3 linked regions of the Arabidopsis thaliana genome follow. The protein of the gene in region 3 interacts with the protein of the main gene of each other region in a pairwise test. Each region holds a gene or a part of one and is shown on either strand. Other genes may lie near its edges. The genes, in order: SD1-13, PP7 and CAM3.

Region 1 (11,769 bases), on a different chromosome or scaffold from region 3:
CGGATTTAATGGAGAACTGTCCCTCCATTGCATACTCCGGTGCCATATATCCGCTGTGCAACAAGATTGAAACAGTTTAAGGTTGTAAGATTTTGGACAGTTTTGTGGTGTTTCAGAAAAGAGTAACTCACAATGTTCCGACGACCCTACTTGTGCATCCTTCCATTTGGTTGCCCCCAAAGATTCTAGCCATGCCGAAATCTGAAATCTTTGGGATCATTTCACTGTCAAGAAGTATATTGCTGGCCTTGAGATCTCTGTGGATGATTCTCAGTCTTGAATCTTGATGAAGATATAAGATTCCACGAGCAATCCCTCGGACTATCTCCATTCTTTTTGGCCAATCCAACTCTGCTCTCTGCTCTTCATCTAGCATGATGATAAGAAGAAAGAAACAAGAAAATTCAGAGTCATTGATCTTCCTGAAAGGGAGAATTTGAACCTGAGTTAAAAATGTTGAACGTACGGAATATGAAATAGTCTAGGCTCTTGTTTGGTAAATACTCGTATACCAACATCTTCTCTTCCAATTCAACGCAACATCCTAAGATCCTCACGAGATTTCGATGCTGCAACTTTGATATCAGCTTGACCTCGTTCTTGAACTCTTCCATTCCTTGTCCCGAGTTTCTCGACAACCTCTTCACCGCTATCTCCATACGGTTTTGTAACACGCCCTAAGTAGAAACAAAGGAAACAATATTCCTTACTACTTATTGAACTTAATAGTGTTCTCTCTTGGAGGAGTATTGATGAAAAATGGATATTGCCTCTTCATTACCTTATAAACAGGTCCGAAACCACCTGCTCCAAGCTTGTTTTGGGAAGAGAAGTTATTTGTTGCTGCAACGATCGTGTTAAGATCAAATAAAGGTAACTCCCGGTTTCTCGCCTTGTCTTGTTCAAATCTAAATGATTCGTCAAAATCAAAAGGGACCGGGGCGAAGTTTGCCGAAGAGCTTCTATGCCTGTTTGACTCTGCACTTGAACATGTTTCAAGTAGTTAGTTGTGAGCTAAGATAGCAGCATATCATCTTAAGAGATTCATCATCAGATATTCACTTACTTCGTCGCTCCCTTACAACACAGAACAAAATGACAGTTAGTAACATTACGGCTGCAATCAAACTGATAAGAATCAGAAGGACTCTCCTCTTCCCTGATAAGCCATTTCTGTTCCACCGCGCTGAAACAAGCAAGAAACTCAGTATTTGAAGTACTTCGATACTAAACATTGACATGTTTCTTTATTCTCTTTGTTTTAATGAAACAGAGTGGTTGTTTTATGAAGAGCAAGAACGTAGAAAATAGGGATTCTCATTTATAGATGTGTACCTAACTCTTCCTTGTCTACACGTATGTAGAAATCTTGTCCCGAGTTCAAGTATGTCCTTGCATCCAACATACCACCATGCCATTTCAAGCATCCTATTGCTCCTCTTTTACTCTCGTGGTAAGCACTTGCGTAAGCGACACAAGAGCAGTTCTTCAAGCACCTCTGTTTGCACTCCTTCAATGTTATGTTCATATCCACACTTGCATCTGATGTGTCGGGAATCTTCATGCGCTTTAACTTCACAAACCCGTCTTTCTCACTGCATATTGAAGCTCTCTTTTTCTTTGTACACCCGCCAGAAGAGTCCCTCAAGAACCAATGCCGGGGAAACTTGGGCTCAAAACCAGGTAGGCATGTGCACTCAAACGTTTTTGAGCTAGGGGAATCACAGTAACCGTTAGGGCCACAATGAGCGTAGTTATCGCACTGCTCTTTAGGAACTGACCAGAAATCATTCCATCTCTTGTCCCTCGCAATCCATGTAAACCGGTGCATGGTTCCAGTCTCGTTCACCATGGTTCTTGTTATGACCGAAGCATCTGTCACACCGTAAGTGAAGGATACTTCGTCCTCATTATTCACAAATGAGTTATTGAAGATGTACCCTATTGGCATTTCAGGCACCCCGCTCCACCTATGCCCGGTCCATGACCCCATACGCCACCATGGGGTTACACCTTTGTACAGAATCAACTGTGGAAACCCTCTACGTTCCATCCGCAGTATTAAGTCTCCAGAACCAGGGTCACCATGAGACTTCCATGATGTTAGAGAGCGATCCAAACCGTCTTTTCGTGTGAATCCCAATCTCATAAACGGAAGAAACGTGTCTGTAGGGTGATCAAAGCTCTCCCAGAAACTTCTCCCTGTGACTGGATCAAACAGAACAAGGTTGCCTAAATCAGAGAGTGTAGCAACTAAAGTTGGTTCCAACATACTATCTGAAACATTTGTTGACCAGATAAGCTCTGTTTCATTGTCAGATGCATAGACAGAGAGATTGCCTCTGTTGCTGAACTTTACCATCCCAGAGGTGTCATTAATAGGATGGTCTCTGTTTGCAACCCAAACAATAGTCTGTTGAGAGATTTGAGCATACCAAATCCCAACATACCGGAGCTCTGAATCCCCAAGACTGAAGAATCCAAACGCGAATCTCTTCCCTGCGGAGAGTATAACCTCACCATCTCTCAAGGACTGTCTTCTCATAATTGTATCCACAGAGATACAAAATTGGAAGAGGAAGAAAAAGAAGATAACGAAGACAACCTTCATATTTGTGTTTGTTTCAGAGCAAGGATTTAGTGAAAATGTATAAATGCTGTGTAAGTATTGAAAACCAAGTGGATCAGTCATTAACTGTGAGTCACGCCCCAGTTCCGGATATATCTCAAAGGTTGGACTTTCAAAAAGATGTAAGAACTGATTCATGTGACTTAAAAGTGTGAAACTAACTAAAAGAACACCAACAATAATCATTAATTACGTACCAAAAATGGAGAGTTTTGTTGGTATCGAGAAACTCCTATGATTACATATCTACATTCTGTGTATTTGTATGTGCAATGATTGGACTAAAGAGCAGAAACTGTATTCCAAAGAAGTACGCTCAGATGCTCTGTCTACAATAAAACATGTTCTATATTTATGTGACTTCATACAAGAACATGACCAGATTCTGAATTTTAGTTCGTAACCTATAGATTACTCTTACATACAGATATACAACTTAAACATTTTTTCATCAAAATTCTTTAGCAGTAGGTTTATCTCACTTACAGAGCTAACGTCCTGTTATTTTTGTGAGGCTCACATTGTTGATCGATGCTCTTGGGTCGCTTTGTCCCGAGGATTCAACTTCTGAAGTGCCCCTTCTAGGTATAAATGCAGGTTGCTTTGGCTCTGGAAGGTTTGAGTTCTCGCTACTTAGCATCCAAATCACCGTTGCAACGCTCGGCCTATCATTTGCGTGATCTTGTACACACAATAGTCCTACGTGCACACATCTGCGTATTTCATTTTCAAAACACTCTTCAAAGATGACCGGATCCACAAGAGCAATATCTTCCCCGGTGTTCCAGAGTTTCCATGCCTGGTCAAAATAAGGAGATAAAGTTTCAAGAATGGTTCAAAAGCTTTACCAAAAGAAAGGTCGTGGTTTTAAAATGAGACTTACATAAGCTGAAAGATTTGGATTCTGCCCATCATTGTAAAAGCTTGAGTTTCTTCTTCCACTCACAATCTCTAAGAGTATGACTCCTAAGCTGAAAACGTCAGATTTCTCTGAGAACAACCCTCCCATTGCATATTCGGGTGCCATATAACCGCTGTGGTGTTATGCTTTTGTCAGTTACATAATTGACAATCATCGAAAAAAGATCAGAAAAAGCTGTGTAAGAGTTAGTTAGGGTGGCTACTCACTATGTTCCAACCACTCTTACGGTGCTTACTTCATCCTCATTCCCCTGGAAAATCCTAGCCAGCCCAAAGTCGGATATCTTCGGGTTTAGATTCTCATCTAACAAAATATTGCTTGCTTTTAGATCTCTGTGTATGATCTTCAGCCTTGAATCTCTGTGAAGGTACATAAGACCTCTGCAAATCCCATCGATTATGTTAAACCGCGTCTTCCAGTCAAGAAGTCTTTGCTTCACCGGGTCTGGATTACACAGCAACAAGGTGCACAAACAAGACTAGCATTAGGTTCTGTTCATGTGCCTACTAAGACTGTAACAGAGTTAAACCAAACGATAAGTTCACTACCAAATAGATATGCGTCTAAACAATTCTCTGGCATGAACTCATAGACCAACATCCTCTCTTCTCCTTCAATGCAGAAACCAAGCAATCTCACGAGATTCCGGTGTTGCAGCTTTGAGATCACGACCACTTCATTCACAAACTCCTCGACTCCTTGTCCCGATGTTCGCGAAAGCCTCTTCACAGCGATATCGAGCCCTTCTTGTAACCTCCCCTGTAAATGAAAGTAGAGCAACTTAACACTCCATTGTCACTTTGAAATTCCTCCTACCAATGAAACAAAGAATTGTTTAAGAACCTTGTAAACAGCACCAAATCCTCCTTGTCCGAGCTTGTTTGTGATAGAAAAATTGTTGGTCGCCACTGCTAACACTTGGAACTCGAACAGTGGTAGCTCTTTAAGCTTGTATTGATTCACAAGGATTGCACCAACGTCATTACTACTTAAAGCTTCCATTCTCTCATTAAGTAGCCTTGTGTTTCTGTTCTTCTCTGTTAAACAAAGCAATGCAAAAAGTTAGTTATCTAATAATATAAAATCATAGAGAGATATCTCTTATATAGTTGGAATGTAACGCTAACCTCTATGCTTAGCGATCTTCCACAGTGCTAAGACAACAGTCCCTGCAAACAAAAAAGCGCCTACTAGCAAAGTTACTGTGATCACAATTGACCGATTGGTCCGCTTTTCTACAAAAGATTTGGTGCAAATCTGTTATGATCTAGTAAACTAAGTTGGATGGAAAAATGAGGTTGATACTACACTTACTAAACTCTGAATCTGCAAGACGAATGTAAAAAACCACGCCAGTGCCAGAAAACTCCTGCATATCCATCAAGTTTCCGCTCCAAAGAAGACAACCAATCCCTCTGTCGAATGAGTAAGCCGTACAAGAACAGTTCTTCAGACAGCTCTCAGGACAGTCTTGTTCATTGGCTCCAGATCGTTGTGGATTGTGGGGCACTTTCATCTTTTGCACTCTCACAAATCCATCACTTTTTCTACTTCCATCGTTGTTGTCTCGACTTTCGCACTGCAATGGTGCCTTTCTTACGCATCCCTGAGTCCAGTTTCCGTTGTTCCACTCCGCGTAACTCTGTGGCTTAAACCCTCTAATGCACATGCAAGGCGGAGTCGACCCGGGATTGAATCTGCAACTAGCGAATTGGCCACATGTGGCGTATGTATCACACTTGGTCGATGGGACCTTTAACCAGGTCTTCCATTCTTGGATAGCCACGTTCCAATCTCTCTGAAACACGCTTCCTTCGGAGTCCAAGAGAAAATGATACAACAAAGTATTTCCAGCATAGGACATGGAGACAGATCCTCGATTGTCACTACTAAGGGTTAACTCGAAAAGATTGATACGGTAATCCATATTTGGTAACCCAATGAAGTATTGACCATTCCATGGACCGCTACGCCACATCAGAAGATCATCTTTCCAGACAACAAGTTCTGGAAATGGCAGAGGAATCAAACCTGCAGAGTATCGTCCAGGCGATGGATCAAACGGGCTTTTCCAAGATCTTAGCTTAAGGCTCCTGCCTGTTTTCGTGTCAGTAGCAAGACTCATTGTTGGCAAATATATGTTTTGAGGATGCTCAAAGCTCTCCCAAAGAATCTCATCCCCAGTATTAGTAGTTCCTAGCAGCACGAGGTTCCCTGTATTCAGCAACCGGGCATAGAAGGTGTTAGCAGCCACCGGCACCAAGACATTGGTGGACCAGTGAACCTGTCCGCGACCATCCATAACAACAAGATTCCCTTCCTTGGATATGGAAACCATTCCGGAAGAGTCATTGATCGGGCTGTTACTGTTTGCTACCCAAACCACGGTTTGAACAGGAATATTATTGAACCATATCCCTGCATAACGTCCTGTGGAGTTAACCGGGCTGAAGAAACCAAACCTGAAGGTGCTGTGGTTGGAGACGACAGTCTCAGAGTCCCTGAACTCGCTAGAAAACGTGATTACATCAGTAGCCAAACAAAGCCTCAAGGAAAAGCAAATCAATGTAAGAAGAAGAATTAGCAAACAACCCATCTTCTCAGCAACTTTGAGAGAAACGTAGAGCTTTAAGGGTTGATTTAATCCTAAGACTTGAAATAACTTTATGTCATCTAATGTTTGGTGGTTACATTTAATTGCCACTGGCAGAGGCACCACACTTGACTTTTCCGCTCAGAAATAATTGGAAAGTGTGATGGGGCCTTACGAGCATGTGTGAGATAGGGGCATGCAAGGAGTCACTATCAGAGACAACTTCACATTTTGCAAACTTGAAATCGAACTTGGAAGCCGTTTTGAAACCAGGTCGCGCAACAACAGGCAACAGGAGCTCATGAAATCGACAAATGCAAACAAGGATTTACCGATTCCTTAGGTAAATGTCTCTTAACTCTTCAAAGTTGGGAATAGATAGTGGACGTTGATCATAGGAAGAGAGTTCGCTGCTTGAGAATAGGGACAATGTGGTGAAAATGTTAATGATGCCTACATTTGAAACCATCAGAGATGCTTTCTATGGGGAAAACTAAACTGCAGAGAGACAAAATAGAACTTATTTGAGACTGTACAAACAGTGAAACTTCGGAACCATTATCAGTCTTTTTCCCAAAGATACAAACAAAGACACATCGGTACCATTGATCTTATGAACTTCCACACAGTCAAGAGAAAAGTCAGAAACAGGACAAGACAAATGTAATGGTTCTGAAAGATGCAAGCATAGCCATTTCATGGTAAAGTTTATTTAATGGTCATTACTGACAAGATATATTATTTGGAACCGTCAAAGATGTTATTTTGTACCAACTATTCAACTGCAGAGATATACAAGACCACTGAAATTCTTTTCACTGCTTTTTCAAAGACAAACAAAAGACATCGAATCCACTCATCCCAAATTCCATAGAGTTTAAAACAAAACCAAGAAACAAGAGAATACTTACAAAAGAGATCTAGAATACCCCAAACCCCAAAAACAACACAATTAAGCACACTCAAGAACACAAACCAAGGGCAAAGGAACGCTTTCTTTTCTTTCTAAGTCTCCTTAGGGAGGTCTCCTTCTGCAACATGAAAGCCTGCACAAGATCAGTGATCACAGATAAGACATCATTGATTGATCCAACTTTTGAAGAAATAACTTGACATATCCAGACATCACTGAGACAAAAAAAAGTACTCACAAACAGCAAATCTCTAGCATATCAATAGATGCATATGTAAGTTATTGGTCATTAACATCAAGAGATTACTGAATACAACTAAAGCAATGATATGCGCAAATGTTCAAACATACACACCTCAAGCATCAGGAATAAAATAGCATCTTAGTGGATCTTCCTAATATCCAATCATTCTAAAGGTCAAAGCTTGATCCGAGCAGAGTATTACTGATTGTATATAATATTCCTAAGTAAATTGAAACTGACATGCATTCAAAGTCAACCTTGCTGCTACTGCTTATCCGAAGCATCATGGTACTCATCCTTATCTCCCTCTTCTTCAGCCACCTCAGGCACTGTATGAAGTTTATCACTGTCCATCAGATTCTCCCCACCACTGTCGCCGGATTTCTCATCTTCTCCATCCTTATCATCAGGAAATCTAACAACAACCACCGGACAAGCACAATGGTGAACTGAGTAATCACTGACACTCCCTAATCTCCCTTTACTACTCCTCTTCGTAGCACCAAATCCTCTACTACCCATAATCAAAGTACTTAGCCCTAACCTCTCCACCTCCAAACAAAGCCTCTCCTTCATATCGTGATCCTTGACGATATGGATCTTAAACGGAATATCCGCCTCAACCAAAGGCTGAGCAACGTCGCTCGCTTTCTTATTAGTGACAATGTCGAAATCGTCCTCAAGCTTCCTCTGCGACTCTTCGTTATTTGGATCCCACTGCGGCGACAAATCCATAGCGCCCCAATCGGCGCCGTAAAGTACACTCGTCGGTTGAACATGAAGGAGAACAACGGCGTCACCTGATCGGAGATAGTTCTGAACAGCCCATTGAACTGCGTACGCACTCTCGTCGCTTAGATCGACAGCGATCCCGATCTTACGTTGAGCTCCAGCAGTAGGTGTGCTGATCGGGAATCTGGGAGAAGACGGCTGGACGGTGACAACCGTCGGTGATTTCCGGTCGGATCTCGGAGATTTTCCCGGAGAAGTCATGATTCCGCTCACTCTCTCTCTCGGTTTCTTCAATTGACTCTGTACGGTACGGTATAGTGACAGCGACTCTTTTTATTTTTGTACTCTTTTCTTATGAGAATTGGATATTGTTAAGAACCGTTAGATTGATCGGTTTGAAGATCTAACGGCTGTAAAAATATATAACCAAAACCATAGATATTCTCCAATGGTAATATATAGTCATTCTAATTATATAATTAAAACACACTATACCAAAACTAAAATAACTTTTATTTATTTTTTCAGATAATAATCTAGAATCACCAAAACCATAGAAGAAAGATTTTTGACAATAGAAACATCTTTGAAGAGTTGTGGGCTAGGAGTGAAAGTTAACAGCTCTTCTTTACACCCATCCCCCATGTCAAACGTACAAACAACCCTTTGTTCTAAAGTGATATAGTCCTTGGATGCCAAAGTTGTGAAGGCGTCATCAAAACAATCAGTAGCTTTGTCGAACATTTCTGCACATACATGGTAGGAACCTTTAGCGTTGGGATCCGTTGTGCTTCTTACGAGTGCCTGGAATTGTTTCAGCATATCTGAAGTTTTTCGAGAATTATAAGTAAGTATATATTTGGTAAGGCCATAGAAATCCAGTGATGCAATTTCAGGGGATGAGTTCAGGAACTCAAAGCACAATGAAGCATTGGTATTGGCTTCTGTATGTGTGCAGATACTGTTGATTTCACTTTTTGTAATCTCCGTACTAAATCTTGCAGATGATGAAACAACAAAAACAAGAAAAAAAAAACTATATGAATTAATAAACAACTTTTGACGTTTGAAAACATTTTTTTGTTCAGGATTTTAGAGAATTATGTGTGATTTGTATAGTGGAAAGGGGAACGTATCTAATCTAGAGTTTTAATGCTAACATTGTGCTACCATAATAAGATGATTTACATCTTTAATCAAATAATAATAATCTACAGTTTTAATGCTAACATTACGTATCTTCTTCATTATATTAGTAATAACTAATAAGTAATGACATGATTAACATTAATAGCAATAATATGGCAAAGATTCAACGGTTTCCTTTTTCGTAATTTAGATATGTGAGGTTTTACAGTCGTAGATTTCATTCATGTAAAAATAAAGGAAATCTGGGATGAATCGCACAAAATTCTTATTGCTAGGTAGGTGAATAAGGTAGGTGAATAGTGCAAAATAAAACAATGTGTAATTTTACATCAATGGCAATATGGCAAATATTCAACGGTTTTGTGAGCTTTGAAAATTTTAGATTTTTTACGAATTTTGTATAGGTGAGATCCCTAGTCGAGTATTTACAGCGACTCTTTTTCTATTTTTTGACTCTTTTTTTTTATGAGAATTGGATATTGTTAAGGACCGCTAGATTAATCGGTTATAAGACCTAATGGCTGTAAAGGAGGGGCTAAAAATCCAGTCTTAAAAGTATTTGATTTTTTCACAATTCTGATAATAAAATCTAAAGATCATATCCATTGGTTGAAGATTCTTTCAAGTCTTAATATCGCCTAATTATATAATTAAAAATTAAAAATATATAGGAAGAAGTTTAATAAATCATGTGAAGATAATTGTCATACCGATTTCTCAAAAGTCAAAACTTTCTCATAATGAGAGATCCATTAACTTTTCTCAATTCAATCGTCGATATTTTTGTAGAGATTTATGGGATATCTTAAAAAGAGGCAATAACAACACTAATATAACGTTTTTTATTTTTTCAGAAATAGTTTCACAATCACCAAACCCATAATAGACAGATTTTTGACAATAGAAATATCTTTGAAGAGTTGTGGATTAGGTTTGAAAGTTGACAGCTCATCTTCACACCCAGCTGCCATGTCAAACGTACATTCAACACTCCATTCCAAAGTGATATAGTCCTTGGATGCCAAATGTCTGAAGGCGTCATCAAAACAACCAGTACCTTTGTCAAACGTTCCTACGCATACATGATAGGAACCTTTAGCACTAGGATCCGTAGTGCTGTTTACGAGTGACTGGAATTGTTTCAACATATCTGAAAATTTTCGAGATTCATAAGTAATTAAATATTTGGTAAGGCCATAAAAATCCAGTGCTGCAATTTGAGGAGATGAGTTCAAGAACTCAAAGCACAATGAAGCATCGACATCTGTATGTGTGCAGATACTGTTGATTTCGCTTTTTGTAACCTCCGTGCTAAATCTTGCAGATGCTGAAACAACAAAAACAAGAAAGAATACTATATTAGCAAATAAAAAACAACTTTTAACGTTTAAACACATTATTTTTGTTCAGGATTTTAGAGAACTAGGTGTGATTTATATAGAGAGGGGGTGGGGGATCGGACGCATCTACAGTTTTAATGCCAAGTTGCTAACAGATTGTGTTACCATAATAGTCTTTGACCAAATAATAATAAAGCCTTTTCGAGACAAAAGAGGCTTACGTATCTTCTTTATACTAATAACATGATTTACATCAATAGCAATATGGCAAAGATTTTCAACGGTTTCCTTTTTCGTAATTTTTAGATATGTGAGCTTTTAAAATTGTATATTTCATTCACGTAAAAAATAAAGAAAATCTGGGATGAATCTCACAAAATTCTTATTGCTACCTAGGTAGGTGAATAATAGTACAAAATAAAACAAAATGTAAATTTTACATTCATGGCAATAGGGCAAATTCAACGCTTTTGTGAGCTTTTAAAAGTGTATATTTTACTCATGTAAAAATAGATATTTTAATGCTAACAGATTGTGTTACCATAATAAGAAGATTTACAAACCGAAATCGTAATCAATACGAATTATATACGGTTTTTATGATTTTAATTTTTTTTTATAAAATAAATAATCAAATTTAAACTAAACTAAAAGAAATTTGCAAAACTACCCTTTTTTACTACCCTTTTTGCAACAATATCTTTTTATATTGTTTATTTATAAAAAAAATCCCTTTCCTTGAACAAAATGACCAAATTACCCTCATCTAATAAGAACATGTAATTGGAAACTGAAAGTTGGCGCCAAAATTTATTTTTCCCGCCAAAAGAAAAAATTCCACCAAATTTCTTTTCCCGCCAAAAAAATAAAAATTCCCGCAAAAAAATAAAAATTCCCAGCCAAAAAAATGCTTTTAAAAATCCTTGTAAAATTTTTTAAAAACTCTTTTAAAAAACCTTGTAAAGTTTTTTAAAAGTTTTGATAGTTGCTAAAAACCCTTGTAAATCATTTTAAAACCTCTGAAAATCTTTATAAAGTCTTTAAAAACATAAGTAAATACTTTAAAACCTTTTTTTAAACCTTTGTAAATTATTTTAAAACTTTTTACAATAGTTTTACAAGATTTACAATCGTTTTTTAAATATAAATTAGTGACATTGAACGATTTACAAGGGATTTTAAAAGCTTATAAAAAATGTAAAACATGATTTACAATCGTTTTAAAGCATAAGTAAGTGGCATAAAAT
Region 2 (10,542 bases), on a different chromosome or scaffold from region 3:
TAGTTCTTGCAATTCTAACAAGGAAAAGAAGAAGAAGACGAAAGGAAAAACCTTTTGTTTTTGTGGCGGACTCAGCTGGTGTGATTTCCGCATTGGAAGCGACAGGAGTTTTTGTTGGCACATCCGGAAGATCCAGCTTCTCAGATTCTTCAGACTCCTTTGTAGGCACTTCAGGCATCTCATCAACAATAAGCTTTAAGCAAAACACACATCAACATTAGTCTCTTTATCTAGTAAAGATAATAATACACAAATTTATTTTGTAAACCCATACCTGACTTTCTAGGTTGTCAAATTCTGCTAATATATCTTCCTCATCCTCTGCTGATAGTTTCTCTCCCAATATAGCGTTCAGCTCCTGACATTCGGAAATGTAAATAGAGTCATCAAACACAAAAGCTCGACAAAAAAGATTATAGAGGTTTTCACACTAGACGAGCTCAGAACAAACTGTGCCACACAAAGCAGTGATCAAATAAGAAGATATTTACATTCTGACAAAGCGGATAACGTAATAATGAATCATAAACAAATGATACGAAACCCGAAAGTATTTTGACTCACATCTTGATAAGCTTTAGCATCAGCAGTATCATCCATTAGTTTTTGAACATCATCAAGGTCCAATTCGCTTTGAATGGCCTTAATAGCACTATTACCCTGCTTTAAGCTCTCAAACACTGCCTTTTGTTTGCTCGTAAGTTCAATATCTGTTAACTGCGAGTTCACATGAAAGTTTGAGAAAGCCATAATTATGCATCAAAAGAGACGATGCCGGATACAAAACATACACACAAGGAGAAGGATTTACTTGTTGTTCAACATTGATGACCCATTGATCCACTTGCTTCAATAACTCTTCTTGAGTTCGTTTCTTCCTCAATGCTAACAAAGCTCTGTCCTTTCGCTTTTCACGGATTAAGTCTCTTGCAGCTTGCTTTTCCGCTTCAATTACTTTCTCAAGCTAAATTAGCAAAAAAAATGAGAAGATCGGTTAACAAAGAGATGAGCCAAAGAACTCAAAAGCTTGAGTCTTTCTTTTCCATCACACTACTAACAATCATAAGACACATATTGTGAAACGAATCAAATCCAATCTCCAATTAGGATTTTGGATGAATCAAAACTATATGATCTGGGTTCCAAAAGAAATTGTAACAAAAGAAAATTAAGATATAAGAAGAGAGAATAAAAAACCTTCTGCTGATATTGACCAAGCTTGCGTCTTTGGGTTTTGAGAGAGAGAATCGCTCGATCAACCTCCGTGATCTGTGGTTTCTTCACGAACAAATTCCCCATCTTTTCTTCACTTATCGAAACCAACGATTCGGAAAATCAAACGAGCAGAAGAAAATTTAGCAAGATTTGATCTTTTGACGAAATTGATTATTAGTCTCTAGATTTCCCAAAAATGTCGCCAATTTCAAACCAAAGTCCAATTTTTGTGTTTCTTCTCTCTTTCTGCTTTTCAGTACAAATATCTCAAAATAGAGGAAAAGCATGAACCGGACCGAAAAAATGTAAAAATCGATATCGAACCGATTTTAGTCGGTTTGATTTCATCCACACTGAAAAATAAAAAAATCGAAACCAAACAAAAATTCCTTGGATAGTACCGTAAACAAAATCAAGCTGAAATCGATAAGTAACCGAATAGACCAATGTATAATTCGGTCTCCCAATTTTGTTCAAGTTTATATCAAAACCAGAACAAACCGGTTGGCCACCTTTAACAAAATCTCGAACTCGCGTTTTCGATAGCGCGTGATTGCAAAACGCTATTGCAGCGTCACGACAAAAAAGGTTTGTTCGTTTATTAAACCGGCCGGTTTGGAATCATGAATTTGATTTGAATCCTTTTAGCTGGTTAACCGACGTCGTTTGAGTAAATGGATCCAAAGCCAGACAGATCCTAAATCTCGTCGACGACGGTGTCGGGACTGAAAGCAGAGAGAAAGCAAAGTAAGCTAGCTTAGCTAGGTCCAAGATCCAAGCTTTGGAATTTTGTAAATTGTCTCCACTCTTAGCCGGTGAGTCTCACTCTGTTCCGAATTATTCTTTGTGATATGGATTTCGATTTCCCATGATTCGATTTTGTACTTTTTGCTCTTCTCTTGAGTTTAAAGATGTACGAATGAATATATACAGATTCGATTTTATGTTCTGGTGGCTTTGATCGCTGAAATTTGAAAACTTTGTCTATGTTTCGATTGCTTGATACTCTTGTTTCACATGTTCATACTCTGGAATTGATTATAGATTAGTGTTTTTACAGTTTTAATGGAAACTGTTCCACCATCTCCCATTACATGGCCAGATGGGGGAGCTCTCACTAACGACTGGGTACATGGGCTTATGTCGTGTTTCGAATGGTCTTCATGGAATCTACCTCCTTCCCAGTTACCTTCACTATTGCCTGTCAACGTCTTTGATTCCCTCGTCCTCACCGCTCATAAAATCCTCCACAAAGAACGTAACTGCGTTCATATCGATGATCTTGACTCTGTATCCAACGTTGTTGTGGTTGGTGACATTCATGGTCAGCTTCATGACCTTCTTTTCCTATTGAAAGATACTGGCTTTCCTTGTCAAAACCGGTGTTATGTTTTCAACGGAGACTATGTGGATCGCGGTGCTTGGGGACTTGAAACCTTCCTTGTTCTCTTGTCCTGGAAGGTAAACTCTTTACTAAGCTGTTTTACTATTGGCTCAAGTCTTAGTATTCTTAAAGCACATATCTTTTTGGTTGTTTAGGTTTTGATGCCGGACAGAGTCTACCTACTCCGTGGTAATCATGAGTCAAAGTATTGTACATCTATGTATGGTTTCGAGAAGGAAGTGCTTACAAAATACGGAGACAAGGGAAAACATGTGTACCGGAAATGTTTGGGTTGCTTTGAAGGTCTTCCTTTGGCTTCCATAATTTCTGGACGTGTTTATACAGCACATGGAGGGCTTTTCCGCAGCCCAGTCTTGCCTAAGCGAACAACAAGGGGGAAAAAGAACCGTCGGGTAGTTCTTCTGGAACCTGAGCCGAGCTCAATGAAACTCGGTACCTTAGATGAGTTGATGCAAGCTCGAAGATCAGTTCTTGATCCTCCTTGGGAAGGTTCAAACTTGATACCAGGAGACGTTTTATGGTCTGATCCTTCAATGACTCCGGGCCTTTCACCAAATGAACAGAGAGGCATTGGTCTTCTTTGGGGTCCCGATTGTACAGAGGATTTTTTGAAGAAATATGAACTGAAGGTGACACCAAAGTAGATATTGATGCTTGTTTGCTTCCCAAATACTGATATGGATGATTGGATCAAATGTTTTACACTTATTGGTGCAGTTGATCATCAGATCACATGAAGGTCCAGATGCTAGAGAGAAGAGAACTGGTCTTGGTGGAATGGACAATGGATATACAATAGACCACAATGTCGAATCCGGAAAGCTTATCACTATTTTCAGTGCACCTGACTATCCGCAATTCCAAGTATGTATTTTTACGCCTTTGGTATTTGCATTTTCTAAAGATATGCGTTAACAATCATTTTTGTGTGTGGTGTAGGCAACAGAAGAGAGGTACAAAAACAAAGGAGCATATATTATTTTGCAGGCGCCTGATTTCTCGGATCCTCAATTTCATAGTTTCGAAGCTGTTAAACCGCGACCAAAGGTAACTAACTTACGATGCTGATAATGAACCAACGAGTTGTTTTACTTCTTTGATACACATACATAGCGACATCGGTTTTTAAATGTGCAGGCGCATCCATATTATGACTTTGAAAATGTCATTGATTCTGATGATGAGATGGATAAGTCAGCAATGGACACCAATAACGAACAACCAAATAGCTGACCGAAGCTGAAAAGGAGTATCTTGAATTGATGTTTTTTACAGTTGTTGTGATTGCTCATTATTTGCAAACATAAAATGGAATCAAATGTAAAGAAAAGAGATGAAGAAAATCATTTGTAGAATTCACATTTAAGTTATGTATGGAAGATGAAGAAATAAGAACCATCTTAAATCTCATGTAGTTCTTAGTTTCTTGGTTCCTACACGTCTTATTTAAACCTAAATCTTGTAAGATTTTGCTCTGTTTTGTCAGGTTAGCCTAAATCTTGAGAGGTCAAACTTGCAGTAACTTTCATTGTATAGAATTGCTTTTAACTGAATGATAAATCGAGTAGTAGATTAGTCCAATGGAAGTTTGTGGATCAAGTTATGTGTCTGTCGGCATTATAGTTTTCCTTTGAAATATTGACACATTACTAGAATCTTATCCAACAAAAAATTGTGTGGTTATGAAAATCCTAAGTAACGAGACAGCTTATTAAATGCCGAATTTGGTAGCAATTTGTTCAGATGAATGTATGTCTTCTTGTAAAAGACAGTATGAAGTGGAGGTTGATGCTAACTATCTTATGGTTCCTTATTGCACTTTGAAGCATTTATTGCAATTGTTTTCGGTTTTTTCTCTTGAGTGGGCTAAACTAATAATGGTCTGTTCTTTCTCTAAAGAGAGAAGAATTCGACAGGAGCGTGAAGCATCTTCATTCGCAAATATAACACATTAAAGCTACCTCTAGCATCATCTGTGTGATTCTCTCCAAGGTCATTCGTTGTCTGTCACGGGGCATCTCAAGTAATAAAGCTTAAAGTTAACTGTCTTTTCAGCCAAATAGTTTCATCATCTAAATATTCACATGATCTTCCATATTTCATCACCGATTATGGTTACAACATTTTTGCAAACCCTAAAATTTGTGTTATCGCCAAACTTGACCCTTATACCGGAACCCATGTGGGTGGGTGTTGATTTTTACTGTTTTGTAATTTGTTCATCGACAATCATTGACATGTACTCACCGCAATGTTTTTTCTTTCCTAGTTTCATGTGCATATATGTCTCTAAACAGTAATTGTTTAGCACTTCATGTCAAGCTTAAATTATTATAGGTGTCTTATCTTGTCTCTCTAGTATTTTCTGTTGAAGTCATGTGCATTAAATTGTATATAGTACTTCCAATGGCTTTCATATAATTTCCATTTTTCCACAAATTGTTCGTAATGATGTTTATTTAACAAGATTATAAAAGATAATGCAACAAATTTGTGTGATGAATGATGAGATGAACCCATTTGAAAGAGGTCGCAACAAATGTCAACATTAGAGACCATCTTGATCTAGAGTTTTGTCTCGTTGACTTTAATGCCAAAATTGGACAATACATATAATGCATGTATCAGGCAATGCAAAAATATCTTCATTCATTTAATTTTCTTACTATAATAGATGTCACAACTTCCCTCACTGACAAGCATATAATGTTGGTTTTATCTCAATGTAAACAACCTTTTAGTTTCACATAAATGTTAGGTCGAGCGAGGTGATATATTCGTTCCAGATCGGATGAAACAAGTAATTCATCGATGTTACCTTTATCCATATGTATATGTAAGATTATGGGTTTTAGGTAATCTAGTAAGTACTACTAAGTAGTATCCGTATGTAATTTTTTATTTATTTTTATCCGTTATGTATAATTTCTTTGGCCGTTTTCGCAAAATCTATATTTGGATGTTTTAGATCGTGAATTGATATATCTTAATTTGAATATTTAGGTATTCATATATTTTGAATCTATAGTTGACCTGTTGACCATGTATTTTGATTTGAATATCTCGCTCGATCGATAGAAGATTTTTTTTTGTTTTTGTTTTGTTGATAGTAGAATCTTCAAGTTGTAATTTAACAAAAAAAAAAAAAATCAAGTTGTAAGTAGACCGTATATCTGTATATTTCCATATGTAGAACCATGCATTTTGAATAATTGAATAAAATAACATGTAGCAAGACGTATCTTCATATGATAATCAGAATCATAATAAAAAGACAAACTGTACACCATATTGTAATCCAGGTTTAATTTGACCTCTTTGAAAAACTAAAATAGCTGAACTGAATATTTATAACTAAAAAGACAAATTGGATATGTCACTTTGGACTATGAAACTCAGAATTTTTTTTGACTAACGTGTATACTTTCACACGTGTGCATGACTAAAAACATATGATTAGGCTCTTACGATCTATGCGCCTTACACCTGTGAATGATGAACACATAAAACACAAGTTACGATCTAGAATGTCATGTGTACTGGCTTAAATCTACTTATGTGAAGAGGTAAATGAAATGGTCAAGAAACAAAAAAAAAAAGAAATGGTGAAATTATGAAAGTATAAAACTTTACCGGTGAGGTCCGTATTTGGATTTATTAAGTGAAGAGGGACCCTTTTGCAATTAAAGCCTGTACGACAAAAAAGAGATTTACTGTACGGTTAAAACAAAAAATAAAAAAACCAGCAAAAGTAAAAAAGTCAAAAAGCAGATATATGACATGTGCAAATCTCCATCGCGCCTTTATTACCATCTACCGCTTTCTCTCTCTGTCTTTCCTTGTTCAACCCTCGAGAGATTACGGATAGTGAAAGAGAAGCTACAAAATTTCCCAATTTATCAAAAAATAGAAATTTCTTACTTTTTTCAAAATTCATTTCTCCCCAAAAAAAATATCTTGTGAAAACTGCAACTGTGATCCATGGCGGAGGATATGGCTGCCGACGAAGTTACGGCTCCTCCTCGTAAGGTTCTTATCATCTCCGCTGGTGCTAGCCACTCCGTCGCTCTTCTCTGTACGTCTCTCTTCTTCTTCGCTGTTTTTTTTCCTTTTCTATTACGGACTCAAATAATCACCGGAATTGTGAAATCCGCTGCTTTAGTAGGCTGTGCTCTTCGCGAATTCTCTTGATCTGGCCTTTAATCGAGTTTCCCTTACTTTCGTCGTCTACTAATGAGTAGTTTTATGTTTTGATTTTGTAGCTGGTGACATTGTTTGTTCTTGGGGTCGAGGAGAGGATGGACAGTTAGGTCATGGCGATGCAGAGGATCGACCTTCTCCGACTCAGCTTAGCGCTTTAGATGGCCACCAAATTGTTTCCGTTACCTGTGGTGCTGATCACACTGTTGCTTATTCACAATCAGGCATGGAAGTCTACAGTTGGGGATGGTTTGTTTCTCATCATTATCTTCTTCTTTGCTGCTGAATCAATTGCTCTTCAGTCTGTTTGATATATTCGGGATGAGATGATGACCACTAGTTCCTCTCTAGATTTTTGTGTAGAAAACAGTAACTAATTATACACTCATTTGCACATATTTTAAGCCTCGTGTTCTCTAACCTTTATGTGTACTTTGCAGGGGTGATTTTGGGAGATTAGGCCATGGTAACTCAAGCGACTTGTTTACTCCGCTACCAATCAAAGCATTGCACGGTATTCGGATCAAGCAGATTGCTTGTGGGGATAGTCATTGTTTGGCTGTCACTATGGAAGGAGAGGTCCAGAGGTATTTTCTCTTTGTTATTGTTCTTCTCCTTATGTGCAATCATTTACAGTTTACATCTCAGCTCAATTAGATGAATTTCATCGGAATTTGATAATGTCGATTGCGTCCTGTGTCATTTCTATATATCTTGGTTATTGTGTACATTGCCTTTTAAACGTTTTGTCTGTCTTGTCTTGTTTTCCAACATATCTCTTTGACTTCTGTTTATACAGTTGGGGCCGCAACCAGAATGGTCAACTTGGTCTGGGGGACACCGAAGATTCTCTAGTGCCTCAGAAGATTCAAGCCTTTGAGGTTTGTATCACTAAATATTCTTCTAACATCTTTTTTCGTTGTAGTTTCCTCAACTTGCCAAATACTATGCTTCAGAATTGGGTCAATGTTGGGTCTATTTCTGCAACTTGATCTTCTTAAACATATGACTGTTACTAGTTAAGGGTCCACATCTGGTGAAGATGTCTTCAGAATCATAATTTAAGTTACATAATTTTAGGAGTGGTAGATACTAAATTGGATGTCTATGTGTTATACTATCTGCAAAACACAGATAGAAGGTAGGATCTTATTGATAATTTATCGGACTAGGTAAACTAGAAGATTAAGTGATTAGAGACCCTGAGTTTATGTTGTTAGTTTCGCTGATCTCCATTGTTACATCAACACTTTAAACTTGTAATGGGTGCAGGGAATACGAATCAAAATGGTTGCTGCTGGTGCAGAACACACTGCTGCAGTTACAGAAGATGGTGACCTCTATGGATGGGGCTGGGGAAGATACGGAAATTTGGGATTAGGTGACCGGACTGACCGCTTAGTTCCTGAAAGAGTTACCTCTACTGGTGTAAGCTAGAAGACTCTTGTTCTATAATTTTTGTTTAAGCACCTGCTACTTGTTTAAACTTGCATTTGAAGTTCAGTATACGTGAAAGAAATCGTGAATAGCTCAATATGCACTGCACTATTCTGGATTAGCTGTCTATATTGATGGAGTCACACGTATATGCAGTCTAATTTCAGTTGGTGGGTGTCAGGGAAGTGACCATAAAACTTTTAGAATGATCAAAGTTTGGTATCCTGAATCTGCACAGTTCATGAAATGAAATTTAGTTCATATAACATTGATATCACGCAACCTCACCTTTTTACCAACTTCTATTTCTGCATTTTAGTCCCTCAATTTTTTCCTTAATTCTCTTTTCATTTCGACTCACTTGACTCTCGTTTTCCTGGTTGTAACTACAATTTTAGGGTGAGAAAATGTCAATGGTTGCTTGTGGATGGCGGCACACAATATCAGTTTCCTACTCTGGAGCATTGTATACTTATGGATGGAGCAAATATGGACAGCTAGGACATGGAGACTTGGAGGATCACCTTATTCCTCACAAACTGGAAGCACTGAGCAACAGTTTTATCTCCCAGGTTTCACTTAGGCCTTATAAATCTGTCTTGAAATACAAATTTGTACATCTGAAATATCCAACATATGGGATAGCAATAATATGTTTTTCGAAAACTTTCTGACAACTATTACCTACTGAAGAAGACTGGCTTCATTGTATGTACTTCTGTTGGTTTTCTTCTTCTGTTCGACATCTTTTGGACTTACTGTTCGTTTCTTTTCCAGATTTCGGGAGGTTGGAGACATACAATGGCATTGACTTCAGATGGAAAACTATATGGATGGGGTTGGAATAAGGTCTAGAATGTCTTGCTTTTTTTTTTTTTTTTTCTGGCCTATATTTCGTAGAAATGTATAGAACACCTATTTTCATCTACACATTCACTGATATTTGCATTTAGTTGCTTTATGCTGTTAAGGAGTGATATGCATTCACTTAGATGTTATTTTAAGAAAACAACAATGCATATATTGGGTAACTTTAGTAACTCATCTTGAATAAAACAAACTTCTAATTGTCTCTCTTTTAGCCTGCAGTTTGGACAAGTAGGAGTCGGCAATAATTTAGATCAGTGTTCTCCTGTGCAAGTGCGATTTCCCGATGATCAGGCATGTTATCCCTAAAAAAGTTTAACGAGAAAGCTCGTCCCAATGTTTTACCGGCTATATAATCATATTAATAAGTTCATGTCTCAATTCGCTGTTTTCTTTTCCAATGCACACATATTGTGGAATTTCACAGAAAGTAGTTCAAGTCTCATGTGGATGGAGACATACCTTGGCTGTCACTGAAAGAAATAACGTGTTTGCTTGGGGTAGAGGTACAAATGGACAGCTCGGCATTGGAGAGTCGGTTGACAGGTAAAAGTGTGATCATCTAATCGCTCATGAATCAATGTTTTCCACTTAACATATCTTGGTGTTACGAACAGAATATGAAAATTGGCCAGTAAGATCGTTGTTTCCACCAAAATCATTGCTTTTCAATCCCACTCACTACCTATCTTGATAATGTGAAATGGATATTTGGTTTGGTGTTTATAGGAACTTTCCCAAGATTATAGAGGCACTCAGCGTCGATGGAGCAAGTGGACAACATATAGAATCTTCTAATATCGATCCATCTTCAGGTATTTAAACAATACCACTAGTTAAAACGATTTCTGTAAACGACTCAACAAGTGATTAAATGATTCAACTTTTGCATTGCTTTGTTACCAGGGAAAAGCTGGGTGTCGCCTGCAGAGAGATATGCAGTTGTTCCTGATGAAACGGTAAGCCTTAATTTTGTTAATTCTACTAAACTTTATATCCAATACGTAAACTACAATGAAAGCAAATGGCACAATTATATCGGCTTAGAACCAGATTTTACTGATTAATCATTGCTGCACAATTATACCTTGCTCTGTCAAGATCGTGGATTGTTTTCAAGGATGAAATCTATGTGTGTGATTTTGAATTTGGTTGTGTGTTAGGGCCTAACGGATGGTTCAAGCAAAGGTAATGGAGGTGATATCAGTGTTCCACAAACTGATGTCAAGCGTGTACGAATTTGAGCCTGAGTCAATTCCGTTTTTTTTTTACTTCCGGTTCTTCCGTTGGATTCGAAGGTTTTTCAGTGATCTCTTTTGGGTTGAGGTTTGTACTAAGAGTACGTCTGTCTAGTTTGGGATTGTACTTTTTGTTGTTGTTGTTAGTTTGTAACTTGTGATGCTTCCCTCCCCCTAGCT
Region 3 (9,677 bases):
TGAGTATATTGAAACTGAGAAAATCTGTAGCTTAAATTATCATTTTCATTTTCTTCCTGAGATTAATAATGTATTGAGGTTAAAATAATTTTGGAAGCATGTATCGAGAAAAGTATCTATGTCTTTAGTCACTCTAGGAATGATAATCTTTGGAGTGACTGCCTAACCTTGAAGGAGACTATTGTGTAATCCTAAGTTTCTCTTTTCTCGGTACTGGAGATTCACATTTCATGTTTTCACTTGTTTGAAGGTGGAGCCGCATCGTGTGTTTCCATTCATGTTGGTGAAATACGGCCTGGTGGATTGAGGGGAAACCATAGACACCATACCTGTAATGAGACGTTTGTCATATGGGGAGCCAAGACAAAATTCAGGGTAAGTCTCATCATCCATCTCATTGATTGAAACATAATGGAAGAGTTATAGTCTGTTGAACACCTCTAACAGAAAGGAATTTCTGTTTTTGCTTATCTAAGTATCCAATGCTTCATTGAATGGTATGTGATAACTCTTGGTAAAGAAGGTGGAAAGGAGAGTTCAGAGTTTTTCCTAATGCTATGCCAACTTAACTAAACCTGTGTGACATGATGTGTGTAAGTAGAGGTTTGAACAGCTGCAGGAGCAGGCTTATCTTTGGTTGGTTTGAGGGTTTGGGAGTGTTTAAGGTGTCTAGACAAACTCTAGATTTCAGTTCCTTTGATGTGGTTTTCTGATTTTTTGTCTTAGATTCTGCGTTGGGACTCTTTTTATTGAGATAAAGGTGAAAATCACTTCTGAATCTATCATAAAGATGTTCTTGACTATTGGACTAATATCATCAGTCATTTACTCACGGATCACTGAACCACTAATCACTGTCTAAGAATGAAAAATCGAGTTTCTTCCATTAAGATGTTTAGTAATGTGACTAAGTGGGCTTATCTTACTTGTTTGAACCTTTTTCCTGTGATGATTGTGCCCTGGTTTTCCATTTCTTTACTGCTCTCGGGTCAAGATGAACCAAAATCATCAATCAAACATTGTTTATGGACAAACCTATATGAATGCAGCTGGAAAACCACGAAGTCGATAAAGGTTACGCCGAAGTGTTAATTGGAGAGGATGAGGTAGCTGTAGCTGTTAGTCAGAGTGGCACGGCTCATGCTCTAGTAAATGTAGATCCTGTGCGTTCTACTTTCTTCATAGGCTGCCAAGACCATATGCAGAACAACAGCTCAACTAGCGACTACAAAGTATGGAATGATCTATAAACCAAAGTGGGTTAGTTTAGTTTCTCTTGTTCATTCAAATTTTCATTGGCTTTTCTTTCTTTCGAGCCCTTATTTGTATAGAGTAGGCTTTGTTTTGACTGGTCAGTCATATTGTTACTGAGATTATAAACCTGAAACTTCCAATGTTGTGTTCATTGATATGATGGTAAGATTAGTCTGATCAGTGAGAATCAATTCGTATGTAGAGTTTGTTGTTTCTTCACAGCTGAATGTGCAATGCATGTCTTTCTAAAAAAATCTTATTGCAATTTGCCAACTCAGCACTGTAATCAATCAATTACGAAGTCTTATTATTTATGATCAAAATGTTTTATGTATTTTAAAAACTTCAATCACAATTATATTTGACAGATGGAAATATATCTCTACATGTAAAATTTGTGAGCAGTGTTAGTTTTTCTGCTTACCGAAAATTGTTAAATTAAAGCATAAATTGTTTTCTTCAAACGTGTAAATGATTTATGGTCTCAAAACAGAGTGCCATTAATGATGCAATTACAATTACTCGTACAAAAAATATCTAATTCTTATAGGATTGATAAAAAAAGCTCTAAAAGTTTTCTCTGTCCAGCATGCACAAGGTCATGAATCTTAAAGAACACTCTTAATAATGCCCTTTTGTTTCTCATAGAGCCTTGTGCTAAACTCCTAAATGCCTAGTATTTGATTAGGGTTCTTAATTTTGTTAATGGAATCCCCATCATGTTGTATTCGAAGGTCTAGTTGAAGTTTATCTAGAGTTGAGTGATAATTTACTTTGTAAGCCAGTAAGCACTAATTAAACTTCAAAATAGGAAACAAAACATGAAAGACACTATAATGTCTAGCCAAAAAATGACATTATAATGTCTATAGCTAATAAGTAAAGTGTCAATGCTTTGGAATTTGCCATGTGCAAATGGACCAACCTTAAAGTAAAAAAAAAAACGTAAAACAAAAGTGAAAAGGAGAATAAAATAAAAATAAAGCATGGAGACCTAAATCACAAAAAGGGTATAATATTATAATTTTACCGTTGAAATGAATAATTTCTTTTGACTAAATGGGAATTTAAGGTTTTAGATAGAGAGAAAAAGAAAGAGGTGAGAAAAACAAAAACAGATAGGAGGAATATGAAGAAGAGTAAACGAGAGAACTTGCTTTCTCCTTCATCTTCATGGCGGGAAAACCATAATCCTCCACGGAGAAACTCAAACTCCTCCGCCGTCTCCTCCGGCTGCCTCCCCGGGTTCTTCAACCTCTTCCTCTCCACCTTCAACCGCCGCAAATCCATCACCTTGGGATCTAAAAAGCGAGAACAAAGAACCGTCGTTTACGCTTCTCCTCCGCAAGATTCATCAAACGGACAAGGCGGAGGAATCGTTGCGCCACCGCTTCCGCACAATGAAGGAGAGGGAGATGCGGCGAGAGTTAGTCTAGTCGGAGCACTAGAGAAATGTGATCGGGACTTAGAGGAGCTAAGAAGAACCATCGACGTCATCAAAACCACTTACATTCTTCACAAGAGACTTGAGGTTTCTCCGCCGACCACACGTGAGAATTTTAAATTCTCCGGCACCGGTACGTTTCTCCGTTTTTGTCAGTGTTTTGGTCATCTTATACGTTTAATACAAACATGTCGAAATCATCTTTTTTTTTTTTCACTTATAAAAACTTCTCTTATTTATTGATAACTTAACAAAAATCAAGAAAGAAAAATTCATATTAAAATGTGGGAGAATTGATGTGGTCCGTAATTTGTAGCACATTATCAGGGAATTTTGTATTTTAATCTTTTGTTGTTCAAAATAAATAAATTAAAGTAGTAAACTTAAGTGAACATTGTGTCAACTAAAGTAGCAATAAAGAGTGAAGATAGAATGGGAAGGCCAAAGAGTTGTCTCTTTAATTTGGTGGTGTTGAAATCATGAGTATGTCCAATAGTGGAAGACAGGCTCATCATTTTGGTATATACAAATAAAAGTATATTGATAAAGACATCTTATTGCTCTAACAATTTCATGCATGCATAAACTGTGTTATTTGATTTTGATGTCACATCTAATTGCTCTAACAATTGGATCATTATATAGTTGTTGTCATATTGAGGATAGTGTTCAAAATTATATAAAGACAATATAGTATGGACCCCAATTAAGTTTCGGTGGGGCTAATTATGTAATGAGGTTTAGTCTAATCTGATAGGATCAAATTAAAGTGGAGAAGAGAGTAAAGAAAGTGTGAGGAGAAAGAGGCATGTTAGACAAATGATGAAGGAAGAAACAGCTTTTAGGGGCCTTTATTCCTTTAGTCATGAAGCCCACTTTAACTTTTCCCATCATTTGGACCCCCACCCATTCTTTGATTTATTCCTGATTCTGACCCACATACTGTTTTATGGTACCAAATCAAGAACACCACTTTTAAAGAAAAATGATTCTACAAGCACTTCATGTATGCCTGAGTCTTATTATTCGCTAGTAATAGTTTATATATATTTGTGTGACAACGTACTAATTTATATACTAAACACACAAGTTGTCTGATAAATTATTTTCGTCTTATTTAACAAACAACCAACAGTACTGGCAGGAGATGTCGTCGTGGGGACGCACACGCAGAAGAACACGAAGACGACACAACACGAACCAGACACAGACACGATGTTGTCGATGATGAACCATCACGAATATTGCTGCAAAGACAACAAACCCTACAAAGTCAACAATATAAATCTAATCACTAGACCCGATCATTACTCCATTCATGACGTCATTTCCAAGAGATCAACGTCAACGACGACGACAGAGTCATGTGGCACGTTGCCCCTTGTGGTGCGGAGGGTAAGACGGAGCTTGATGGAGAGCGTGAACCAAGTTTGTGATGACGTGGCATCTGGTCAACGAAGAGAGGTCGCTAAAATCGGTTTGGCTCTTCATGATCACATCTGTCGCGACTTGATCGCAGAGACCGTTCGAGAGCTCTCCTTCTCTGACTACGACGACGACGAGTTTTATCAATCGCCGGTGGATTCTTCTGTTTGTTACGGCGGAGGAGGTAAAGGCCAACACATCCGACGTGGCAGCAGCAACTCTCTCCCATTCGACGCGTGTCGAAGAAGATTAGTGTTTTGATGCGATTGATATCTTTAGGTTCGTTGTGACGGTTATGGAAGTCATAGTTGCGACAATTTTCACCTATGACACTTGTTGTTTAAATTATTTTATAATTTTCTTAGCTTATTCAGAATTTAAGACATATCTTTCAATAGAGTGCAATTGGTTGTTTAGGGTTTAATGAATGATACACTATTTGCATTCAATATAAAAACTTTCCCTATTTGATGAATTCATGTATATACTAGTACTACATAGATTTCCTTAAATAAATGAATGATTAACAAAATCAGAAACAATATATTCATCTAGATACAGATATTAATGTTTTTTTTAATAACTCATCCTATATTTTAAAACTCGATCGTTTTCTCTTTATATATACCTTTCTTAAGTTACCTTATATACATAATTTAATCATAGAATTTATTAAGAAATTGATTAGACGTATCAATTATATCTTGAAGTGATTTTGATTGTTTGAAAACGAAATCTAATCTAATTAATTTGCAGGTGATATTGTACTTAAGTTAACAATAAAAGAAACTAATTATTTGTTTTCAATGGTGAGGAGGACTACTTAAATTCAAAAGCGAAGCCAATCATAAACAGACATCTGTACTGAGAGAGATCTCGAGGACCCAGCGAGAATGCTGACGTGACAGTCAAGTCAACGCTCCGCGTACAGACCGCGTGAACGTGTGATCCGTTTAATTGTCCACTCTGGCGTTTTATAAGAGAAAAGAAATCATTGATGATAGCATTAACGCAATTACAGTCATAATCCGAGGTTATAACAGAGATTTTTCCAAACCCGGTACGGGTTAAAAAAAAAAGCTTTTAAAGTCCCGGGTCGGAGCAAAAGTCGTTAATAGCTTCGTACCCGATAAATACGGTTGCTCTCTCGTTTTTTCCAGCAGAGACACTTTTTCTAATTTTCTCTTCTTCTTCTTCTTTCTCGTTTTGAGAGAAAACAAAAAAATTCTGAATCTACAGGTTTCACGAAAAGGAGAAGAAAAAAACAATGGCGGATCAGCTCACCGACGATCAGATCTCTGAGTTTAAGGAAGCTTTCAGCTTATTCGACAAGGATGGTGATGGTACGTTGTTGTTTTTTTCTCTCTCCCTCTCGCAATTTCAAATGTTTTTGAATACATAGGATTTTGCTACTGTTGGATCTTGGTGTCTAGCCATAACTGATTTGATTTCTGTTCTTCTTGTTGATTCAATTGATCTGTGTCGATGTAGATAATTAACGGATCTGTAATTCGTGATCTCTAGACTCGTTCCTTGTTTTTCAATTTTTGTTCGTTTGTTTCCTGGATTGGATTTGAATCGAAATTTGGATGATTGATGACTTGGAGATTTGCCAATTTGTTATCGATTTGGATTTAATTTTCCATCTGAATTATTTTATCTCACTTTAGATTTGAGAAGTTAATGACTAGAAACTGTTAATTGAGAAGTTTGGGATCTAGCTAAAATGCTTCTCTACAGAGAAACCTGCTTTGAGTTTCGTAATTGAAGATATTTGATTGAATTAGATTTACAGAGAAGTGAATGATGAACAAATTCTTGATTTGCTTGTAGGTTGCATTACCACCAAGGAGCTGGGTACTGTGATGCGTTCCCTTGGACAAAACCCAACCGAAGCAGAGCTTCAAGACATGATCAACGAAGTGGATGCTGATGGTAACGGTACCATTGATTTCCCAGAGTTCTTGAACCTTATGGCTCGTAAGATGAAGGACACCGACTCTGAGGAAGAGCTCAAGGAAGCATTCCGGGTTTTCGACAAGGACCAGAACGGTTTCATCTCAGCAGCTGAGCTCCGCCATGTGATGACAAACCTTGGTGAGAAGCTTACTGATGAAGAAGTTGATGAGATGATCAAGGAAGCTGATGTTGATGGTGATGGTCAGATTAACTACGAAGAGTTTGTTAAGGTCATGATGGCTAAGTGATGCTGTTTTAGAACCAAACAATGGCTCTATAAACTTGGTTTGCATCTCTTACATATAAATTCTTATGTTATGTTCTATAATTTTTATTCATGGGACTCGAGGTATGTTTTCTGCTTGTTTAAGACGCGAATGTTTTATCCCTTTTATGCTCTATTTTGCGTCTGAACATTTTCAAAAGTCTTGTTTTTTTGTTGTCTTGCTCCTGTAATTTGTAACCTTGGTCTAGTTCGCGGTTTTTTATTAATGGTGTCTCTCTAGTAAAGCATTGTATCATGGTTTTGTGAAATGCAAATTAGGTCCTATCAATGACTAAAAAGGTCAAAACGTGGTGTGGTGTGTATCATTAAAAAAATAGAAACCGACATAAAAGTTTCCAATTCGTGGTCGTTTAAGAAAAAGGAAAACGGCATAAAGTTTCCTATTCGTGGTTGAATTGGGATCATTCAATTGATGTGAATATAGGTAAAATACCTTTGTGTTTCTTTGTTCACGTTCGTTTCATACTTCCCCTAAATTTGTCTCATCATGGATAACAAGAAGCAGAGATATTCCAGGAGCATCCGTGACGATCGTGATGAGAGAGATAGGACTAAGCATCATCATGAGAGGTCTCACGAAGGAAGTAAGAGGAAAGATAGATCAGAGGAAGAGAATGGGGCGGCTAGGACGACAAACAAGAGTTCTAGGTTTGAAGATGTAGCTAGGTTTGAGAAAAGGCCGTATACTTGTTCTATTGCATCGGACACTACTTCTAGTCAAATCCTTGAAGCTGTTAAACGATTTCAGGAGCTGGCAATAGATACGGCTGTTGCACATAAACAGACCAAGGGCTTTTTTCTGCGTGTAGATGTACTTGGAAGAGAAATAGATGAGTATGGGCATGTGATTAATCTTAGTACATTGATGGTTAACAACAACAAACACAAGAAAGATGTTTTTCAGAATATTCTTAAACCTCCCCAACCTTTTAAATTGACAAAGAAGGAAGAGAAGAAACTGCAAACTCTAAGGCGTGTGGCAAAAGAAAAGGAGAAACAGAAGATGATTAGACAAGCGTTGTTTGAACCACAAAAATCAAAGGTGAAATTGAGCAACCTAATGAAGGTTCTTGCGTCTGAATTAGCAACCCAAGACTTCTTCTTATGAAGAGTTTCCTTCTTCTCATTTAACAGATTAACTATGAAGAGTTTGTTAAGGTCATGATGGCTAAGTGATGCTGTTTTGGAACCAAACAATGGCTCTAAACTTGGTTTGCATCTCTTACATATAAATTCTTGTGTTATGTTCTAATTTTTTTTTTGTGTGGGACTCGAGGTATGTTTTCTGGTTGTTTAAGAAACGAATGTTATATCCCTTTATGATCTATTTTGCGTCTGAATATTTTCAAAAGCCTTGTTATTTCTGTTGTCTTGCTCTTGTAATTTGTAACTTGGTCTAGTTCGTGGTTTTCTATTAAAGGTCTCTAGTGTCATTGTTTTTTTAAATGCAAATTAGGTCCTATCAATGGCAGTCAGTTTACGTTAAATTGATTTCCTAACGGGGCTCATTGAATAGCTTCAAATGATCAACGAAACAGAAGGCCAATAAAAACCTAAACACAAGAGAATGTGAAACACCTCAGTAGAAATTTTAATGAAACATTGAATTTAGTGAAGCATCAAATCATAAGATGTCCGCGAGTTTCTTCCAAATATTAGCAATCATTTAACAATTTGCTTTGTTTCTTATAATTTCATTCAAAAGAACTTCACATGACTTTGAACCTCTTGGCATCGAAGCTAAGTCCTCTTCAATCTGTTGCTTCGCTTCCACTTCACATGGATATGTCTTATAGAAGATTTTTGCCGTTTTCAAACAAAGCGCATGGTTCAGGAGATAACTCACCAGATCCTTATCTCCGTATCTCCCTGTGTACCCTTTCCACTCTAGAGCTTCAAGACTGGACAACAAACATTCGGGAACCAAACTTGGCGGTTCCCAACGACCCAACGGGGTTAGTAAGTAAACCTGCGATCACGAGAAAAAATGGTAAAACTGCTATTAATAATAAGATCATTGAGGTCGAATATTAAACACTAGTATAAATTACAATGGTAAAGGAAAAAAGGGAGAAAACTGAATACATGTTCAAGCTTGAGGACCACCAATTTAGTGAAACATAGGAGCAAATCTACAAGCATTTCCACAGATCTTTCACTACATATGCTCAGCTCCAGATGCACGATTCGACTGAAGGTACTTGCATCCTAGAAAAAAAAGAAAAAAAAAACACGATATTTCATTTATGTGATGGTTCCAACAAGATATAACACGAGAAAGAAACGACATGGAATGAAAAAAGTTACCTCTAATTTTGATGGAACTCCGAGCCTAACCCGTACAATATACCGGTAACGGCTTGCATATGCCAACTCTTGAATGCTGAAGTACTTGAAAGAAGGTGCGATAATCGCAAGCTTTCGAGTGTAGTTTTTCATCAAACTAAAAATATGCTTGGAATCTGCATCGACTCTTGTGATAATCGACAATCTTTGTAAGTAAGGCATGTCGATATCCAAATTCAACAAAACATCACTGGTTTTTTCTTCCAGTGTTAGGTCGGAGAGAACAGGGCAATTGGATAAAAGCCGACAAAAGGAATCATTGTTAAAGTCCTCCATGCGGGCAACATGGAGAGTTTTGAGGAGTGGGAGACATACCGCGGAAGAAGAAGAAATGCTTATCACATCCTTCAAGCCTTCGAGTTTCAAGGCCATAAGTGTTTTACACCAAGAAACGTCGTACTCAGCAAAAAAGAAACGAGATTCTCTTATGACCATTAGGTCAGTAATAAAATTGCAATTGGATAAAAGCATTTGAAGGGATCCAAAGTCGAATAAACTCGAGTGGTCAATGTGCAGAGTTTTTAGGGATGGGAGAGAGACCGTTGTAAGAGGAGCTTCCACATCGATCACTATACCTTTGAGTTTCAAGACAACAAGTGTTTTGCAGGTAAACAATTCAGGAGGTAATACGGTATGGACAATACAAGCATCTATCTCTAGCTCACGGAGGTGGCAATGATGATGATGAAGCGCGGTTCTAATCCATGGTCCAATGTCTTTATTCCACAGGGTCACACTTAATTCGACATGAAGGCTTTCTAGAACATGAGATTGGTGTGAGAACAGAGACTTGTCGAGAAATCGTTCAAATCTAGTGTGATCCCGAACATCGTACTTGAGTATAGGCACCCTTGTCCAAAGAGATTTCCATTTTTTTGACAAAAGACTTGTCACTACAACATGTTTAGTAGAAACGAATGACAAAATCTTCAAGATCAAATCGTCGGGCAACTCGTTGATACA

Evidence for each region.
Region 1: the proteins of CAM3 (region 3) and SD1-13 interact in binary tests that used the Arabidopsis thaliana proteins (3 or more experiments, as listed by UniProt).
Region 2: the proteins of CAM3 (region 3) and PP7 interact in a two-hybrid assay, tested with the Arabidopsis thaliana proteins (one study listed by BioGRID).

The regions. Positions count from the first base shown.
Region 1 is NC_003070.9:3,814,606-3,826,374, forward strand, and holds SD1-13 (S-domain-1 13), read right to left. Parts: upstream 6,283-11,769; 5' UTR 6,148-6,282; coding exon 4,866-6,147; intron 4,787-4,865; coding exon 4,679-4,786; intron 4,589-4,678; coding exon 4,395-4,588; intron 4,311-4,394; coding exon 4,100-4,310; intron 3,996-4,099; coding exon 3,758-3,995; intron 3,664-3,757; coding exon 3,513-3,663; intron 3,429-3,512; coding exon 3,120-3,428; 3' UTR 2,819-3,119; downstream 1-2,818. Other genes in the region: AT1G11340 (G-type lectin S-receptor-like Serine/Threonine-kinase), read right to left, coding at 1-53, 132-369, 467-677, 782-978, 1,067-1,186, 1,336-2,611; AT1G11360 (Adenine nucleotide alpha hydrolases-like superfamily protein), read right to left, coding at 7,566-8,294; AT1G11362 (Plant invertase/pectin methylesterase inhibitor superfamily protein), read right to left, coding at 10,025-10,579.
Region 2 is NC_003076.8:25,554,647-25,565,188, reverse strand, and holds PP7 (serine/threonine phosphatase 7), read left to right. Parts: upstream 1-1,872; 5' UTR 1,873-2,030; intron 2,031-2,264; exon of another isoform or gene 2,265-2,275; 5' UTR 2,276-2,280; coding exon 2,281-2,676; intron 2,677-2,754; coding exon 2,755-3,249; coding exon of another isoform or gene 3,250-3,264; exon of another isoform or gene 3,265-3,337; coding exon 3,338-3,484; intron 3,485-3,559; coding exon 3,560-3,667; intron 3,668-3,757; coding exon 3,758-3,853; 3' UTR 3,854-4,119; downstream 4,120-10,542. Other genes in the region: VPS20.1 (SNF7 family protein), read right to left, coding at 52-193, 275-430, 565-717, 812-964, 1,198-1,299; UVR8 (Regulator of chromosome condensation (RCC1) family protein), read left to right, coding at 6,602-6,695, 6,883-7,069, 7,261-7,407, 7,620-7,701, 8,093-8,248, 8,656-8,829, 9,035-9,106, 9,347-9,418 and 4 more. UniProt on the Arabidopsis thaliana protein: Phosphatase active on para-nitrophenylphosphate (pNPP) and on various phosphoproteins such as myelin basic protein.
Region 3 is NC_003074.8:21,031,634-21,041,310, reverse strand, and holds CAM3 (calmodulin 3), read left to right. Parts: upstream 1-5,144; 5' UTR 5,145-5,390; coding exon 5,391-5,466; intron 5,467-5,956; coding exon 5,957-6,330; 3' UTR 6,331-6,777; downstream 6,778-9,677. Other genes in the region: AT3G56820 (RmlC-type cupin), read left to right, coding at 251-375, 1,050-1,250; AT3G56810 (uncharacterized protein), read left to right, coding at 2,384-2,831, 3,834-4,384; AT3G56790 (RNA splicing factor-like protein), read left to right, coding at 6,856-7,476; AT3G56780 (FBD, F-box and Leucine Rich Repeat domains containing protein), read right to left, coding at 8,035-8,337, 8,454-8,576, 8,676-9,677. UniProt on the Arabidopsis thaliana protein: Calmodulin mediates the control of a large number of enzymes, ion channels and other proteins by Ca(2+). Among the enzymes to be stimulated by the calmodulin-Ca(2+) complex are a number of protein kinases and phosphatases. Activates MPK8 in vitro.